Macaca fascicularis: one gene and its partners. The protein of the gene in region 4 purifies or fractionates together with the protein of the main gene of each other region. This does not show direct contact. Links are inferred from orthologs where the notes say so. Each region holds a gene or a part of one and is shown on either strand. Other genes may lie near its edges. The genes, in order: PCNA, ARRB1, ARRB2 and IGF1R.

Region 1 (4,334 bases), on a different chromosome or scaffold from region 4:
ATCTCAATTTTCAGAAATTACTTGGGATCCAATTCTGTCTACTTTTAATTTTAGCAATTAACCTAATAAGCAGTATTACAATTCTCTTCAAACTATTTTTTTTACTTAAAAACTACTTACAGCTTCCTCCTCTTTATCGACATTACTTGTCTGTGACAATTTAATGTTTCCATTTCCAAGTTCTCCACTTGCAGAAAATTTCACGCCGTCTTTTGCACAGGAAATTACAACAGCATCTCCAATATGGCTGAGATCTCGGCATATACGTGCAAATTCACCAGAAGGCATCTTTACTACACAGCTGTACTCTTGTTCCTATTAAGAACAAAAATTTTCCAAAAGTTAATTGTTAGAAATTTAATGATTTGGCACCCTCACTTTCTTAAAAGGCAACATCTAAACAACTCAGAATCAAGATTTTCTGATTACTGACTCGTGTAATTTCTTAACAAACTCCACTCAAAAAAAATAAATGGCTATTAAATGCACTGCCCAGGGAACAAGCGCCTCCTCCTCCTCATCCTCCAGGGATAAAGTAAGAGAACATTAGAGTATGCCACAGAAATGATGACGGCGCAAGCAGGTCTAACTATTTTCTAAAAGAAAACGAGAGAATATGATATTAGGCATTTTCAACATTCCAACATTTCTTCTCTCCTTTGGTGTTTATAAACCTAACCTGGATACATTTCTTCTAAGATAGCTTTCAAACCCACTTAATAAAAACCAAGCATCGGGCCGGGCGCGGTGGCTCAAGCCTGTAATCCCAGCACTTTGGAAGGCCGAGACAGGCGGATCACAAGGTCAGGAGATCGAGACCATCCTGGCTAACCTGGTGAAACCCCGTCTCTACTAAAAAATACAAAAAAAAAAAAAAAAAAAAAAACTAGCCGGGCGAGGTGGTGGGCGCCTGTAGTCCCAGCTACTCGGGAAGCTGAGGCAGGAGAATGGCGTAAACCTGGGTGGCGGAGCTTGCAGTGAGCTGAGATCTGGCCACAGCACTCCAGCCTGGGCGACAGAGCGATACTCCGCCTCAAAAACAAAACAAAACAAAACAAAACCAACCATCCTAGAAGGAAGCAAATTTTAAAAGAGGTTCATGGAAATTAATGCAAATAGACAACTGGCAGTAAACAATAAATTTAACCAGTGAGTTTTAGACTTGTGGTAAACAACTATCCAAATACTAAAATCTCTTTAAAACATGCACCAGTAGATATGTTTCTAGAAAAAGTTCTGTTATGAAGTAGGCTTAAATTATATTAACTTATCTTGACGGAGGAGGATCATTGAGGCCAGGAGTTCCAGACCAGCCTGGGCAAGACTGCCCCCACACCCACACACAAAAATAAAAAAATTAGCCAGGCGTGGTGGGACAGATCTGTAGTCCTTCCTAGCCACTTAGGAGACTAAGTGGATTGCTTGAGCCCAGGAGTCCCAGGTTACAGTGAGCTATATGGCACCACTGCACTCCAGCCTGGGGAAAAGAGGAAGACCCTGTCTGTAAAAATAAACAACATTCTATGACATAACTATCATGCCTGTGTACAGCAGTCGCTACAATCAGAAACTGATACTCACTGGAATTCCAAGTTGTTCAACATCCAAATCCATCAACTTCATTTCATAGTCTGAAACTTTCTCCTGGTCTACCAAAAAAAAGCAAATGCTGTTGAGAAACACTGGCACAGAGTTTCGATCTTCTGTAGCTTCATAACTCAGTAAAAAGGTACGACTTACTGGGTGCTTCAAATACTAGCGCCAAGGTATCCGCATTATCTTCAGCCCTTAGTGTAATGATATCTTCATTGCCGGCGCATTTTAGTATTTTGGACATACTAGAAGACAGGAGACACATGGTTTAAAATCAACACCATCTACTGAAGGTCTGTATTTCTAATGCAGTTAGAAGGGGTTACCACTCTCACCCATAGGCCGTCTCAGAACTGGTGGAGGGTAATTGCACTGCTGGAGGATGCGAATATTAATGCAGACATTTTGGGATGCATCTGGCAGTATTTATACTAAAATACCACCAGCAGTTTCCCTTCTGGATAGAAACAATCTCCTGCCACTAAGTAGGATGACAGGCTGACACTTTTCTCGCAAGGGCACATTATAAAGCATTTAAAGTCAATCGCGACTGAGCCGGGAGGATCGCCTGAGCCCAGAAGTTGGAGACCAGCCCGGGCCAACACATCGAGACCGTCTCGGAAACAAAAAAGCCACAACTAAAGCGTCCATTCAAGGCCAACAGGATTTAGTGAGCAAAAGCTCTGGAGCAGTGTTCCTGGCACTGCAGAAAAACCAGTCATTTTCCCGCCACCACCCGCTTTGTGACTTTGGCGCGAAAAAGCAGGTTCGCGCAGCAGCCAGCGCGGGCTTTTCCGAACCGCGCGCTCAGCTGGGCCCCACCCCCCTGCATGGCAGGCCAATGAGAAGGTGCGGATGGTCCACGCCAGCCAATGAGGGCTCGGCTCGGAAGCGATCCCGCCAAACCCCGGAGGTGGGGGTGGGCCGGGGCCGGTTTCTCGGCGCCGCGAGGCTCACCTGGTGAGGTTCACGCCCATAGCCAGGTTGCGGTCGCAGCGGTAGGTGTCGAAGCCCTCAGACCGCAGGGTGAGCTGCACCAAGGAGACGTGGGACGAGTCCATGCTCTGCAGATTTACGCCGCTGGAGCTAATATCCCAGCAGGCCTCGTTGATGAGGTCCTTGAGGGCCTCCAACACCTTCTTCAGGATGGAGCCCTGGACCAGGCGCGCCTCGAACATGGTGGCGGAGTGGCAGCAACGCGGCTACAGGCAGGCGGGAAGGAGGAAAGTCTAGCCGGTTTCCGCTTCAGGAGCCTCAGAGCGAGCGGGCGAACGTCGTGACGAGAAGCTGAGACCTAGAAACAGAACTACCAGTCTGCTACGCCTGCAACCGTTTAATGCCGCCGCGTCCGCCAGCGCGCGCTCTTACCCTGCGCCGCGTTGCGACGTCACCACGCTGCCCGGCCCACAGCCTGGGCGGGTTAGAATTTAGGGCCAATCGTGCCGATGCTCCCCGCGAGGCCCGCCCCCTAGGACATACATTGGAGGAAGCGGGTGCAGGGCGGGGCAGCGTCCCGCAGGTCTCCCCGCCTCTTCGCCTGACTCCTGAACCTGACCACTGAACAAGTCCGGGCATATGTGGGGATCCGGCCCAGGCCCCGGTTCGTCAAGCCCCAGCTTTATGGTGCCTCCTCAGCCTCCAGCTCCGTGGGTAGAAAGTTTCCAGCCACGAAAGTGAAAGTGAAAAGCAAATCCAGCCTACCGGGAGGAAAAGCCTCCTTGTAGCCTGAAGAGTACAGCTGCTGCAAATATGCACTTTATTTTTCAATTACAGAAGTGATGCGCTCCTAAGTGTCACACCATAAAGAGTTATGTTAAACTTAGCTCCCTCTCACCTCTTAACATTCCACTGCCAGCTCTTATAATCACTCAATCGTTCCTTGTATAAAGCTTTTAAAGCTTTTTTGAAAGTTCGAATACACTTTTTTTTTTCAAAATGCACTCATTCCGTAAACACTTCGAAAAAGTACTTAATAAAGTACATTTAATTTTATGCCACGTACATCTTTTTTATATCAGTACCTCTTTAAAAGATAGCATCACATGTATGTAACTTATCAATCTCCTGTTAATTACAAACACCTTTGAGCACTTAGGCAATTTTGGTGCTATCAACTCCTTGAAGTAATACAGCTGAGTCAAAGAGCGTACACATTTAATTTTTTTTCTTTTCTTTTCTTTCTTTCTTTTTTTTTGAGATGGAGTCCTGCTCTGTCATTCAGGCTGGAGTGCAGTGGCGCGATCTCGGCTCACTGCAACCTCCGCCTCCCAGGTTCAAATGATTCTCCTGCCTCAGCCTCCCAAGTAGCTGGGATTACAGGCGCCTACCACCGCGCCCGACTAATTTTTTTTTTTTTTTTTTTTTTTTTTTTTTTAGTAGAGACGGGGTTTCACCATGTTGGCCAGGCTGGTCTCAAACTCCCGACCTCAGGTGATCACCCGCCTCAGCCTCCCAAAGTGCTGGGATTACAGGCATGTGCCACCATGCCCGGCTAAATTTTTGATAAATGTTACTAAATCTCTAAAAGTTTGCAATTTACATTCTAGCCAAGACTGTGTATGAACATGCTCATTTATCTTTATTTTCCTAACTACAGATATTAGCAATCTCATTTTTTAATCATTGCTCATCTGTGTCAAAAATTCAATTTTTTTTTTTTTGAGACGGAGTCTTGCTCTGTTGCCCCGGCTGGACTGCAGTGGCACTATCTCGGCTCACTGAAACCTCCGCCTCCCAGGTTC
Region 2 (3,828 bases), on a different chromosome or scaffold from region 4:
GGGATCTGAGGCCCAGGTCCTAGTGGAGCAGCCCCCACCCCCTGCCCAGTTCAAGCCTCCTACCTCCTTATCCAGGGAGGCCTCTAGGTGCAAGGGCTTGTCCGACATGAGGAACTGCCTGGTGGTCTCGGCTGTGGGCTGGGGGCCAGGCCTCTCTGGGGCATATTGAACCTTCCGGATGACCAGACGCACAGAATTCCTAATGGGGATGGATGGAGTGAAAGAGGACCAGGGTCACCTGCCTTCATCCCCTCTCCTTGCAAGCCTCACATCATTCTCCTGCTCAAGAGACTGGCATGGCTCTTCAACGCCTTAGAATCCAGCCAAACTGCAGAGATCAGCATAGGGGTCTGTCACTATCTGGCTCCATTCCATCCTCCCCTGTTCTATCCCAGAAGTGCCCCGTGGCCGCACTTCATTTGGGTCCTGGTACCCAGCAGGAGGCTGAAACAGGGACTACATTTTCACCTCCTGCTTCCCTATGTCACCAAATAGGTAACAATGTCACTTCCCGCCTCCCTATGTCACCTTACACAAATAGTGTCCCTCTGTCATCTCTTTTGGTGACACAGGACACTATTTGTGTAAGCTCTTTAAGGACAGAAATTTGTGTCTAAGGTGTTCACAACTGTACTCTCAGCACCTATAACTGTGCGTGCCATATAATAAACACATGCCAGATATCTATTATGTAAAACTACGCAGAGGGGACAGGGGTCCCAAGAAGAAATGGGGTTTGGGGAGGCGTCGGGGTTCAGGGAGGAGGTGTGGATTCAGTCAGGGGGATGCAAGCCAGTGAAGGGGACAAGCCCAGGGAGGGGAGAAGGGCCATGGATGAGACTGGCTCCACGAAGGTTACAGGGGATCAGGGAGCAAATGAGGATCTGGTGAGGGAGGGAGACTCAGTGAGGCCGTCTCTGAGGCATGCTGGGAATGCTGCATCTCCATTGCTCAGATAAGCTGCTTCCATTGCCTGGAATGGAGGAGCCAGGGTCAAACTCCCAGCTCTCCTCTTGCTAACTATGTGGCCTTGGGTACATTAACCTCTCTGCCTCCATTCCCTCATCTGTAAAGGGTGATGATAGAAGGACCTATCTCTTTTTTTGCTTTTTAAATTTTATTTATTTATTTATTTTGAGGTGGAGTCTCACTCTGTTGCCCGAGCTGGAGTGCAGTGGCGCGATCTCAGCTCACTACAACCTCTGCCTTCCAGGTTCAAGCAATTCTCCTGCCTCAGTCTTCCGAGCAACTGGGATTACAGGCATGTGCCACCACACCTGCCTAATTTTTGTATTTTCAGTAGAGATGGGGTTTCACCATGTTGGCCAGGCTGGTCTGGAACTCCTGGCCTCAAGTGATCTGCCCGCCTTGGCCTCCCAAAGCTCTGGGATTACAGGCGTGAGCCACCGCGCCTAGCCAGGACCTAATTCTTAGAGCTGCTATGAGGATTAAATTAGTTCGTACAGCCCAGCACTGTGAATGGTGCCTGACACCTAATCAGCCCTTGATAAATGATAGCTTCTATATCATTATTATTAGTAACTCCTTGGTGTGGATTTTAAATGTCCCATTGGTGGTAGGGTGAGAGGGGTGGCTCTCAATGTCACCTCCTCTTTCTTGTGCTTGCTAAGCCTCCTCCCACATCCCACAGCACCCTTCCTTTTCCCTTGTCTCAGGTCTTAAGAGGAAAAGGGAGACAGAGAAGCAAGGGAGAAAAGTCCCATCTCCCCACACACAGGCAGGGCTGCAGATGCAAATGTATGCAATACACCCTATAGCCACCAGGTGGCAAACTCAGCCCATGCCCTAAAAAGGCTGCTGTGCCCTCAGCCAACCTCCTCTGGGAACAGTGCCTCTGGATGCAGGAACATCAGCGTTGAGGGCCCACCAGCTCTTCCAGGAGGCAGGCAGAGCACAGCCTGACCCAGGAGGGGCAGGCCTGAGACATCCGGGCCAGCTGTTTCTGGCTGCCAGCCTGGGCTCTCTGTCTGCCCAGGCTGTGCTTCTCTGGAGAATGCTTCCCCTCTCGGATGTGGGCCGAGCTCCCTGTCACTCTGCCCTGGATGGGTTCACTATCTCCACTTCCTCCTCACTTAGAAGCTGCCATTGACACACACTCAACCCCTGCTGAACTCCTCCCAAGAGGAAAACTGGAAAATGGGGATGGTCAGGAAACAGCCTGCTCACGGTTTAACACAATCTGAATTTAGGATTTTTCCAAAACAAATTAAAAAGACATGCAGTCTGGAGGGGATGAAATGAGAGGCAGGGAGATGAGGGAGGAAGCTTCCACAACGGTGCGAAGGAGAAGATGCGGCAGCCTGAACCTGGGCAGTCAAAGCCACCTCCCCCAGGAAGCCCTCCGTGACCTCCCAGCTTCCAGAGTGCCCTTCCAAGGCTGGAATGTGCGCCCCTCCTCACACACTTCCAGGTATTGTTACTTATCTCCTCTTGGACTTTGCCCATCCTGTCTCCCTCCCTCACCCAGCAGGCAGCCCACACCCTGGCATCCTACTCACCGCTTGTGGATCTTCTCCTCCAAATTCTCCGCACAGAAGGCTTTGACTTCATAGTCCACACCGCAAGCCTGTGGGGAAGGGGTCACTGACCACAGGGCCTTGGAGAAGCAGGGTCCCCAGTACACAGCCAGCCTACCTCTCATTTTACAAGCGAGGACACTGGACAGGAACACCAAGCTCCCACAGCCCAGCCCTCCTCGGTCTGGAAGAAGCAGGGGAACGCCCTTGTGCTCAGCCCCAGTGCTGTGCTGCCTCCTCCATCTGACATGGGACATCCCAAATCATCCAAACAGGGCTCTGCTCTTTGGACTCCTGCCTCAGTCTGGGTGGCCATCCTCATCCAGGCAGCTGCCCAGAAATAGCAACAGGTACCTGAGCGGACTGGGGGCACCTACTACTACTGTGTGCAGACCTGGCCCTGGGTGGCTTCTCCGGTATCCCTCTAATAAGACAAGGAGGCACGTGCTGTCATCTCCATCTTGCAGATGAGGAAGCTGGGCTCAAAGATCTGCAGCTAGTGGTGTCACTTCTATCCAAGCCTCAGTTTCCCCATCTGTGACATGGGGATGATCACACCTTGATTCAAGGTTGCCAGGGGTTACGTGAGGCCAGGTGTAGGTCCTCAGAACACTTTGGTCCTGTTGCAACCAACGCCACTCAGGAGGGCCTCTGGATCCATCACTTAATGGGAGAGTGAGGCTGACCCCATACCTGCTGCCCTGTCTAAAGAGAGACTGGTTGTCCAAGGTGGGACCAGCTTAGCCTAACACTGTTCAACAGGGAGAGTGGTTCTGTGTGTCCAGCACCTCCCAGGGAGAAAGCCAGGGACCTGGGGACCTGAGAGTCCTGGAGCCAGAGAGATGGTCCCCTTGGGGTAACCTACCTTCCCTGTGTCTTCGGGCCCCGGCTGCAGTGTCACAGAGCATGGAAGGTTTGGAGGGATCTGTCAAGAAGACAGAACGAGCCATCTATCACATCCACCACTGTCCTGTCTCATGTCTTGCAGCCCAGACACGCCCATACACCTATCAGACCAAGGGCCCCAGGGGACAGGCCATGTCTACCCCATCAGACCATGCCAACCCATGCCCCGCAAGTGTCTGAGTTTTCTTTATCTAAAGAGTTTGGCCTAGCCCAGTTCTCACAGCAATGGTTTAAATAGATCTTTCTATGATGTCTACTGTAGTTGGCAGAATAATGGTCCCCCAAAGATGTCCACACCCTGATCCCCCAAACCTGGGACCTTAACGACAAAAGTGACTTTGCAGATCCAATTAAGGCCTTGAGATGGGGACAGTATCCTGGATGA
Region 3 (4,394 bases), on a different chromosome or scaffold from region 4:
GCAACCTCTGCCTCCCAGGTTCATGCCATTCTCCTGCCTCAGCCTCCCAAGTAGCTAGGACTACAGGTGCCCACCACCACGCCCGGCTAATTTTTTGTATTTTTAGTAGAGACGGGGTTTCACTGTGTTAGCCAGGACGGTCTTCATCTCCTGACCTCGTGATCCGCCAGTCTTGGCCTCCCAAAGTGCTGGGATTACAGGTGTGAGCCACTGCGCCTGGCTGCTAATTTTTATATTTTTAGTATAGATGGGGTTTCCCTATGTTGGCCAGGCTGATCTCGAACTCCTGACCTCAAGTGATCCGCCCGCCTCAGCCTCCCAAAGGGCTGGGATTACGGGCTTGAGCCACGGCGTCTGGCCTGTATTTTGTAGTTTTTTAGTAGAGACAAGGTTTCCCCAAGTTGGCCAGGCTGATCTCCAACTCCTGACCTCAGGTGATGCACCCGCCTCAGCCTCCCAAAGTGCTGGGATTACAGGCGTGAGCCACCACGCCCGGCCTTAGGTTGCAGTGAGCCAAGATTGCGTCACTGCACTCCAGCCTGGGTGACAGAGCAAGACTCCATTTCAAATAAATAAATAAATAAAAAATAAAATAAAATAAAACTACCCAGTGATGGAGGTCCTAATGTCTCTATTTTCCAGGTGAGGAAACTGAGGCAGAGAGAGGTTAAGTGTTTTAAGGTCACAGAGAGAGTAAATGGTGGGAATTAATAGAAACCAAGGCGGTCTGGCTCCGAGTCCATCCTCTCAATCAATATTACACTATCCGTCTCTGTAGCTGGCATCAATAGTTTGTTCAATTGAAGGGTATTCGCTTTCCAGTTGCTGAAACAATTTAAGCCTGGACTCCACCCACTGCTGGGAGGGTAAGGAAGTGTTTGGCAATCCCAGTGATCTGGCCAATTGTGAGCCTATTCTTTGAAGCATCACCTTACTCCTTCCAATCCACTCTGCCTCAGCAGTGATCCCTGGAAAGGATCCTCAGATAGACAGCAGAACGTGAAATCCTGCCAACTAGCCCATCCCTCCTCCAACTCTACCACCCCATTCCCAGAGGACCCCAATGGGCAGGTTGCCGCAGTATCTGGGTAAGACTTAACCATCTTTCCATCTGGTCTACAGCTCTGACAGCTGGAGCATATAGGAGAGCAATGACTCTGGCCTTTGGCCCTAAATGGTTTCTACCATAGGCCCAGTTTCTGCTACAACTTCACTTGTCCCTTCTTCCCAGAAAGCCAAGCTGTCCAAAGATTATAAGGTAAAGGGTATGGAGGCTCCCAGGTATTCCTAACCAATAAAAGAGAATAAACATCGATACGGTGGCAGCTAGAATAAACATCCTATCTTTTGTCCCAACTTGGGGGCTGAGTGCTGTGGCATCATCCAGGCTCTCCCTCCCCTTTGCTTCTGGTTTTCCTCTTTGTCCCAGGGTGTCCTCCCATTAGGAGCCCTGGCACAGGGCTGTGACAGCCACAGTCAGTGGGCCAACTGCAGTGTGGCTCTGGGGCAACTGCCCTGGAGCAGCTGCAAGGCACCTGCCCTTTGGATCCTAACCCAGCCACCTCCTGCCAGGCTGAGGAGGAGCAGCGTGCAGATACTAGGCTGGCCAAGGAGGCAGAGTGTGGGGATGACCAGGGAGGTGCCCAATGGGGGCAGGGGTAGCTGAAGCAGATGTCCTTTCACACTTCCTGCTATTCTCTCCATTTCCTGTGGCCCAGAATTTGATGGAGGTGAGGGAAATTGGGTCAAGTCAGCAGTCCCCTTTGGTCCATCTGTCCCACTCCTTGAACCACATAACGGAAATCAGGGGCCTCCCACAAGGCAGCAACTTCCCCTTTCTCTGGGATGTTTAAACCCTAATCCAGGACACCGATCATCTCTCTGATGATCTCTTTCTGATACTCATCTACTTGACGCTCAGAAACCTGGGTTCTCCTACTCTATAGGTTGGAAGTGGGGTCGATATGATGCTTTGCAGAGCAAGCCAGAGCTCAGGACCAATTCCCTATTCCCGATCCCCTCTGGGTTGAGGCCTACAGCCCCAACCTTTCTGTCTTTTGCTCCTGCTCCCCTGGGACTCAGGCATTCACCCCTTACCCCTTGGGGGTGTTGAGTCACAACAGGAAGTGGATTTTGCTAGAGACCAAAAAAGAGAACTCGGGGTATCAGTGGAAGGAAAGAGCCTCGATTGCACAGAAAACATCCGGGGAGTGGACGCGCGCCCAGCGTGAATACTGCCTCCCCCACCCCCAGGGAGAGGGATCCGATCTAGTTTCAGGAAGGGTCAGGCTCTCCCAAGATGAAGCTGTTGTTGCTCCTGGCAACCCAGGGGAAGGTAGAAGTTTGGATGAGGAGCCACCCGGCCCTCGGGACAGGTGTGGGCAGCGCGACTACCTGGGGGATATTGGACAGGAGGCTTTGCATTGGCTTGGCACGAGTCTGGAGGGGATCCCCCTCCCAGCATCCAGCCTCCCCGTACACGACCCCTCGGGGCCAGCCACCTGCTCCTCCCTCCGTCCCTGCATCGCAGCCTGCCCAGACTCCTGGGCACGGGAGAGCCCAGTAGTCTGGCCCCACATCCCTGAGAGAACCCCGACACCGGTTTTTCTGATCCCCCTCCGGCCTCGCTTTCTGCAGGGGCCCGGGCATTTCCCCCCAACCTCATTATCCTCGAGGACCTGCGCGTGCGGCCCCGGATGGCTGTCCCTAGGGACCCAGGCGTCCGGCCCCCAGATCCTCTCCGCGGCGTCCTCGTCTGGGACCGTCCCAGCCCCCGCCCCGAGCCGCCGCCCATGCCCCGCCGCGTGGCCCCACCTCCCTTACCTGGTCCCGGGTTTCTCCCCCATGGTGCGCGCGCCCGCCGCCCGCTCGGTTCGCGGCTCGCTCGCAGCCTCCTCGCCCGCTGCCAAGATCCCTGCTCCTCCCCGCGCCAATGCGCACGCGCGCCCTCCGCGCTCTCGCCTCTTCCCCCTCCCTCCCGGCCCGGCTCTGGTCTGGGGGAACCGGGGCCAGATGCGTCAGCCGGATCGCGCGCGCCGCGGCGCTGCCCGCCCTCTCCTAGCAGACACACAGGGCCATTGGCTCCGCCCCCAACCCTTCGCGTTCCGTCCCAGCCGGGGAGCCCTCCCCCGCGCGCGGGGCCCGCTCCCGCTCTTCCCGCCCATCTCCCCGCCCCGCCGCAACCCCTTGAAACCGATTGGGCCCCCCTAAACCAAGGCTCCCGCCTTCCAGGGGATCTAAGTCTTTCGATTGGCCCTCGGCATCCAGAACCTTTAGGGGTCTCCTCCCCTTTGTTTGCTTTCTCAGTGGCGGTGGGGGCGACCGGGCTGTTGGGGGCGGTGGAATGAGCTGAAGCGCCGTCTGGGAAGGAGGATGGTGGGGGGGAACACGTGGGTGAGCAGTTCAATTGCGTGATACTTGCTTCAGTGCGCGCAGCTCACCTGCTCCACGCGGAGCGTACCGCCTTCTGTGGCCAGCCCTCCCGCTTCTTCACCGCAGCGTGTCAGCTCCTCCTGGTGTCTACATTTGATTTTCGCAGGGTTCCCTTTTCCAATGTCTCTGACTCTCCATCTCCTTCACCCACCCATCCCAGCTAACATCCACTCACTCACTCGCTCGCACCCATCGGTCCATCTATCGACCCACCCATCCGTGCCTATTTTATGCTATTTACTATGCCAATCGATGGGGACACATATGAATTACCATGGCCCCTGACTTCCTAGAATAGTTGAGGAGACACATACACAGGTATTACCCAGGAATGCTATTACAGAGGTCTGAGTCAGAAGACACAGCCACTAACAGCGCTCGGCCCGGGCGGGGGTGGAGCGGAGAACATATGAGGACAGTCTTTCTGAAGGATGTGCAGAAGTTTTTTTTCGTTTTCTTTTTTTTGAGATAGAGTCTCGCTCTGTTGCCCCGGCTGGAGTGCAGTGGCGCGATCTCGGCTCACTGCAACCTCCGCCTCCCAGGTTCAAGCACTTCTCTGCTCAGCCTCCCGAGTAGCTGGGATTACAGGCGCCTGCCACAATGCCTAGCTACTTTTCATATTTTTAATAGAGACAAGGTTTCATCACGTTGGCCTTGCTGGTCTCAAATGCCTGACCTCGTGTTCCACCCGCCTCAGCCTCCCAAAGTGTTGGGATTACAGGCGTGAGCCACCGTGCCGGGCCGGGCAGAAGTTAAGACAGGGCATTCCAAAGAGAAAGACAAGGCACATCCTGTTGTGTGGTGTTGGTGGGGAAGCCTGGAACAGGTTGTGGAGGATTTTGTATAGCAGATGAAGGAGCGAGACTGAGGGCCCCGCAGAAGGACACGAGGAACCAGTAGTGGTTTTTAAAGCAGAGGGGGCCGCGTGCAGTGGCTCACACCTGTAGTCCCAGTACTTTGGG
Region 4 (4,380 bases):
TTTAACTGCACACCATAATAAAACGGATTATTTCTCCCGTGTCTTCTAAACCGTACTTATCATTTAAAGATAAAAAACCCTCCTTTGTCCCCCTCAAACACCACCTAAACGACTTAGTAAAGGGAGCCGGAAGGCTTTCGCCCAATCGAGTCCGCTTAAAGTTTAGAAAACAAAGAGCATGAGAGCCCAGATCTGTGCAAGGTCCGGCCCCAGTCCGCGTCCCACTCGGCAGTAAACACGCGAACCACGATCTGCTCTCGTTCTGTCGCGCACTCATTTCTTAAGAGACGTTTAAGGATTTGTTTATAGAAACAGCCTTTCTGAATTGCCCCAGTGATGGGGCCAGACAACCTCCGCTGCCTCCTACTTCTCCCCCTCACTCTTGAAGGCTCAGTCGTGATTTTTTTCGAAGTTAATCGGCACCACCTGCATACCCTCGGCTACCATTACTCACCAACACGCCCTCACCGTTCCCGATCCCAGTTCTGCGACATTTAAACTTTTAATCGTGTTCAAATTACCCCACTATCTTGAATGTACCAGTAAGCCACACTTTCAATTTTTTGAGAATAAACCCCCCACCTCCTGTGGCTGTACACACTGGGGGGAGTTCCCACTCCCTGCATCCCCGCGCTTCCCTACCTACCCCTACCCGACACCACCAAAACAAAAGCTATCAGGTTGCAAAACATAGCGAGTATGGAACGATACTGCTTATTAACTGCGTACAAAGGAAGTGCGCGGCGGCAGAAGGGAGGGCGACACGACGCCGGCCACAACAAAACCAAGGCCAGGGCTCCGCGCTCGCAAAACACAACACCCTTCCCCCACCGCCGCAGACCCTGGCGCTCCTGAAACCCACAGCGTAGGACACCTCTCGCCAGGGACGGGCGTCTCGGTGTCCCCGTGAGGCGGCGACTACACCCCGCGCTGCGAGCACGTGTGTCGGAATGCACGTCGGCTCCGACCACACACCCACCAACGCACATTCGGATGCGGCCCTAGCACCCCTCCATGCCCCTGCCCGGGAGAAACTGAGAGGCCATCCCAGAGCCCTCTGAACTGGGGGCCCAGTGGCGCTCCCCGTAAAAGACAAGCTGAGGAAGACTCCCGGCCTCGCACTCCCCGGGGAGCTGCCCAGAGAGCGCTTCCCCTCACCCCACCGCCCAGCCCCGGGACGCCAGGGGCAGGTAACCCAACGAGGAGCGGGCCAAAGTAACGGGCAAGGCCAGGAACCCTAGGAGCCCGAGGGGAAATGCATGTTGGGCGACGGGAGGCAGCGCCAGGCGCTTGGAGACGTGTCCTGGGGCTTCGGGGCCTCTCCGCAGGGCACCTCCCCCCTCAAGGGCAACTCGCACCCCGCGGGCCGGGCGGATGCCTGCTCCCCACTGCCGGATCAGCCCCAGCAGCGGAGACGCGGTGCGGCCCAGGGTGCAGTCCCCGCTGCCTTCGCGCCGCATGGGATCAGCGCTATGTGCGGAGAGGCTCGTGCGCTCCGGAGGGGCGAGGTGCGGGTCGCGGGGCCTGGGAACCCTTGGTGCCCGCCCCGGCACCAACTTCCCTACCGAGTCCTCGAGCCTAGCCGGGGGACAGGACTGTCGGCACGACTAGAGAGAAAGCCCCTCAGGCCCTTCCAGCACGGGGGATGTGCGGAGCCAGGGCCCGCTGGGCTCCAGACGAACGAGCCCGGATCCCAGGTCCGCCGCAGCCTCCCTCCCGGCAGAGCCACCCCGCGCCCCGCCCCGCCGCTCCCGAGCCCGGGGGCCCGACAGCTGCGACGGTGGCAACTCGGGTTTCGCAAACAGGGCGCAGCCCCTCGAAGGAAAAGTTCCCGCAGTGGCCGCGGGCGGCGGGCACATACTCACTTTCTCCACTCGTCGGCCAGAGCGAGAGCGCGGCGGAGAGAAACAGGAGCCCCCACAGCGAGGTCGGGGACCCTTCTCCAGAGCCAGACTTCATTCCTTTTATTTGGGACGAAATTCCCCTTTCTCAAAAAAAAAAAAAAAAAGAAAAGAAAAGAAAAAGAAAAAAAAAGAAAGGAAAGGAAACAAGTCTCAAACTCAGTCTTCGCTCCCCCTCCAAAAACAAGGACGAAGGAAACAATACTCCGAAGGCGGTGCCGCCGGGGCCCTCCGGGTGCGCGGACGGGGCGGCCCCTCAGCGCCGGCAGCAGCGGCCCAGGGCTCGGCGGAGTCGGCAACTCGAGGCGCGCCGGGGCGGGCTGTCGGCGTCGTCGGCCTCCATTTTCAAACCCGGAGAGGCAGGAAAGGGGGAAAACTGCAAAGAAAGGGGGCAAAGCCCAAATCTGCCTCGGCGAGGAAAAACAAGCCCGGCCCTTGCCGCGCGGGAGGTGGCCGGACGCCCGAGCCTCCGCCGCGGGAGGGCGCGACGCAGTTCGCAAGATCGCCCCAAGTCCGGGTCGCAGGCGAGGCCGGCGAGGGGCAGAAACCCGGAGTCAAATGAATGAGCGGCTCCCCCTCCTCCTCCTCCTCCGGGCTCCGCTCGCCGCCGCCTCCTCCCTCAGCGCCGCCGCCGCCGCGAGCTCCTTCCCAAATCCAGGACACACACAAAGCGGCGGGCCGGCCGCGCCGCGCTCAGCACTCCCGCCGCGCCGCCCGGCTCTGCGCCGCCGCCCGCCCCGCGCTGCCCCCGCCCGGCCCCCGCCCGCCGCCGCCGGCTCTGCGCGGGGGCTCCGGCTCGCTGAAGGTCACAGCCGAGGCGAGGCGCGCCGTGGAGCTGCCCCCGCGCGGGAGGGGCGTGGAGGGCGCGGGGGGGGTCCGGGGAGCGGGGCCGAGGGTCTGCGAGCGCCGGCCGCGGGCAGGCTCGCTGGCGGCGTCCCTCTCGCTCTCCCGCCTCTCTTGAGTTCGCCTGGTGCGCTCGCTCCTCCTCGGGTTTTTTCCCTTTTTTTTTCCGCTCAGCGGAGTTAATGCTGGTAAACAAGAGCCCCAGCCTCGCCGCGCCGCCGCCGCCGCCGCCGCCACACACTGGGGGCTCGCGCGCGCGCGCTCGCCCGGGTCCGCGCACACGCGCCCGCTCGCACACTCGAGCGGCCACCGCCGCAGCAGCGGCGCGCCGAGGGCCCGGCCCAGGCCGGCACGAGCCAAAAACCGGAGCCCGGGATCCCCGAGACGTGCGGAGCGGAGCCCAGGCGTGGGGCGCGAGACTGCAAGCGCCGCCCCCATGTCCCGCCCCGCCGACTCCCGCGCGCGCACAGAGACACGCGCGCGTGCCCACCCGCTCCCGCCCCCACCAGTGCACCACTGCGCCGGCCACCCCGCACGCGCCCTACCCTCCCGCCCGACTCCAAAAACAATGCCCCCGCCGCCGACCCGGTCTCGGCGGGGCAGGGGTGGGTAGGCAGGGAAAGGTTAGGAAGGGGAGGGGTAGGCAGGCGAGGGGCGGGGTGGGCAGGCGAGGGGAGGGGTGGGCGGGGAGTGCGGTGCTGGGAGAGGTTCATTGAAAACAACAACAGCGCGGCTGGAAAGCGCGTTTCCCTGGTTCTTGAAAAGCTTCATTGTTCCTTGCAGCTGTTGCAAAATAAATAAGTGCGTGCATGCGGCATTTTTTTCGCTATGTACTGGAAAGCCCGAACGTGGCGGAAGGGGCGCACCTGGGAAAAAGAAGACCCCCCCAGGCTACTACGCTGGGCACTTTCACGCCAGGCTGGGGCACCCGCGGCGTTGAGACCGGGGAGCCCGGAGTTGCGGGGAGCGGAGGGGGAAGGGCGCGGCCCGCGTGGCTCGACCCGGAGTGGCGCGAGGAGACAGGACCCCGCAGCCCCCCGGTCGGGCCCCGCGCCCCGGAAGGGGGGCTCAGACAGGCGGCCCCGCGTGCCCAGGGCGCGTCCCCGCGGCGGCCGCCAGAGGGCGCGGCGGGCGCCGGGGAGGGCAGCACGCGGAGAGTCGCCTCCCTCCCTCCGGGGGAGGAAATGTGGGGGCCCGGGCTGGGGACCGACTCGGCTGGGTCGCGCTGGCGGGGCCTCCCGGACCAGCGGCCCGCCCCGAGCGCTCTCAGCGGCCTCGCGCGGCTCAGGGCTCCACCACGTGGGCGGCTGTGGGGAGCGGCCGGGGCGCGTGCACGCTGCGGGGCTCCGAAGCTGGGGGGCGTGTCCGGGGCCCCGAGAAGGGGGTGGAGGCTGGGGCCGGGAAGCCTCCCTTGGCTGCGGTCCCGACCCGGGAACAGGCGGCATGCACTCGGGATCAGCGGCTACTGCGAAAACCCAACCGCACCTGTCTTGAGTCCTCCCGGGCACGTTCCTCTTGCTTCGTTTGCTACGTAAGTGACTAGAAACCAGTACCGACCCTAACTCTCCGCGGTGGTTTTCTTGAATGTGCAGGAGGAGAGGTTCCCCAAAGCGAGACTTCCCTAGGACTGCCATCT

Evidence for each region.
Region 1: the proteins of IGF1R (region 4) and PCNA purify together in Homo sapiens (affinity purification with western blotting; 3 studies listed by BioGRID, with this or other methods). This does not show direct contact. The link is inferred for Macaca fascicularis from reciprocal best matches to the Homo sapiens genes IGF1R and PCNA.
Region 2: the proteins of IGF1R (region 4) and ARRB1 purify together in Homo sapiens (affinity purification with western blotting; 3 studies listed by BioGRID and IntAct, with this or other methods). This does not show direct contact. The link is inferred for Macaca fascicularis from reciprocal best matches to the Homo sapiens genes IGF1R and ARRB1.
Region 3: the proteins of IGF1R (region 4) and ARRB2 purify together in Homo sapiens (affinity purification with western blotting; 4 studies listed by BioGRID). This does not show direct contact. The link is inferred for Macaca fascicularis from reciprocal best matches to the Homo sapiens genes IGF1R and ARRB2.

What each region holds. Positions count from the first base shown.
Region 1 is NC_088384.1:82,160,711-82,165,044, reverse strand, and holds the start of PCNA (proliferating cell nuclear antigen), read right to left. Parts: upstream 2,932-4,334; 5' UTR 2,772-2,931; coding exon 2,551-2,771; intron 1,839-2,550; coding exon 1,741-1,838; intron 1,650-1,740; coding exon 1,582-1,649; intron 316-1,581; coding exon 121-315; intron 1-120. UniProt on the Homo sapiens protein: Auxiliary protein of DNA polymerase delta and epsilon, is involved in the control of eukaryotic DNA replication by increasing the polymerase's processibility during elongation of the leading strand.
Region 2 is NC_088388.1:74,142,983-74,146,810, forward strand, and holds part of ARRB1 (beta-arrestin-1), read right to left. Parts: intron 3,463-3,828; coding exon 3,403-3,462; intron 2,588-3,402; coding exon 2,520-2,587; intron 200-2,519; coding exon 64-199; intron 1-63. UniProt on the Homo sapiens protein: Functions in regulating agonist-mediated G-protein coupled receptor (GPCR) signaling by mediating both receptor desensitization and resensitization processes.
Region 3 is NC_088390.1:4,804,573-4,808,966, reverse strand, and holds the start of ARRB2 (beta-arrestin-2), read right to left. Parts: upstream 2,818-4,394; 5' UTR 2,795-2,817; coding exon 2,661-2,794; intron 1-2,660. UniProt on the Homo sapiens protein: Functions in regulating agonist-mediated G-protein coupled receptor (GPCR) signaling by mediating both receptor desensitization and resensitization processes.
Region 4 is NC_088381.1:83,518,319-83,522,698, reverse strand, and holds the start of IGF1R (insulin-like growth factor 1 receptor), read right to left. Parts: upstream 2,980-4,380; 5' UTR 1,960-2,979; coding exon 1,866-1,959; intron 693-1,865; exon of another isoform or gene 455-692; intron 1-454. Other genes in the region: uncharacterized protein, read left to right, coding at 3,554-4,248, 4,337-4,380. UniProt on the Homo sapiens protein: Receptor tyrosine kinase which mediates actions of insulin-like growth factor 1 (IGF1). Binds IGF1 with high affinity and IGF2 and insulin (INS) with a lower affinity. The activated IGF1R is involved in cell growth and survival control.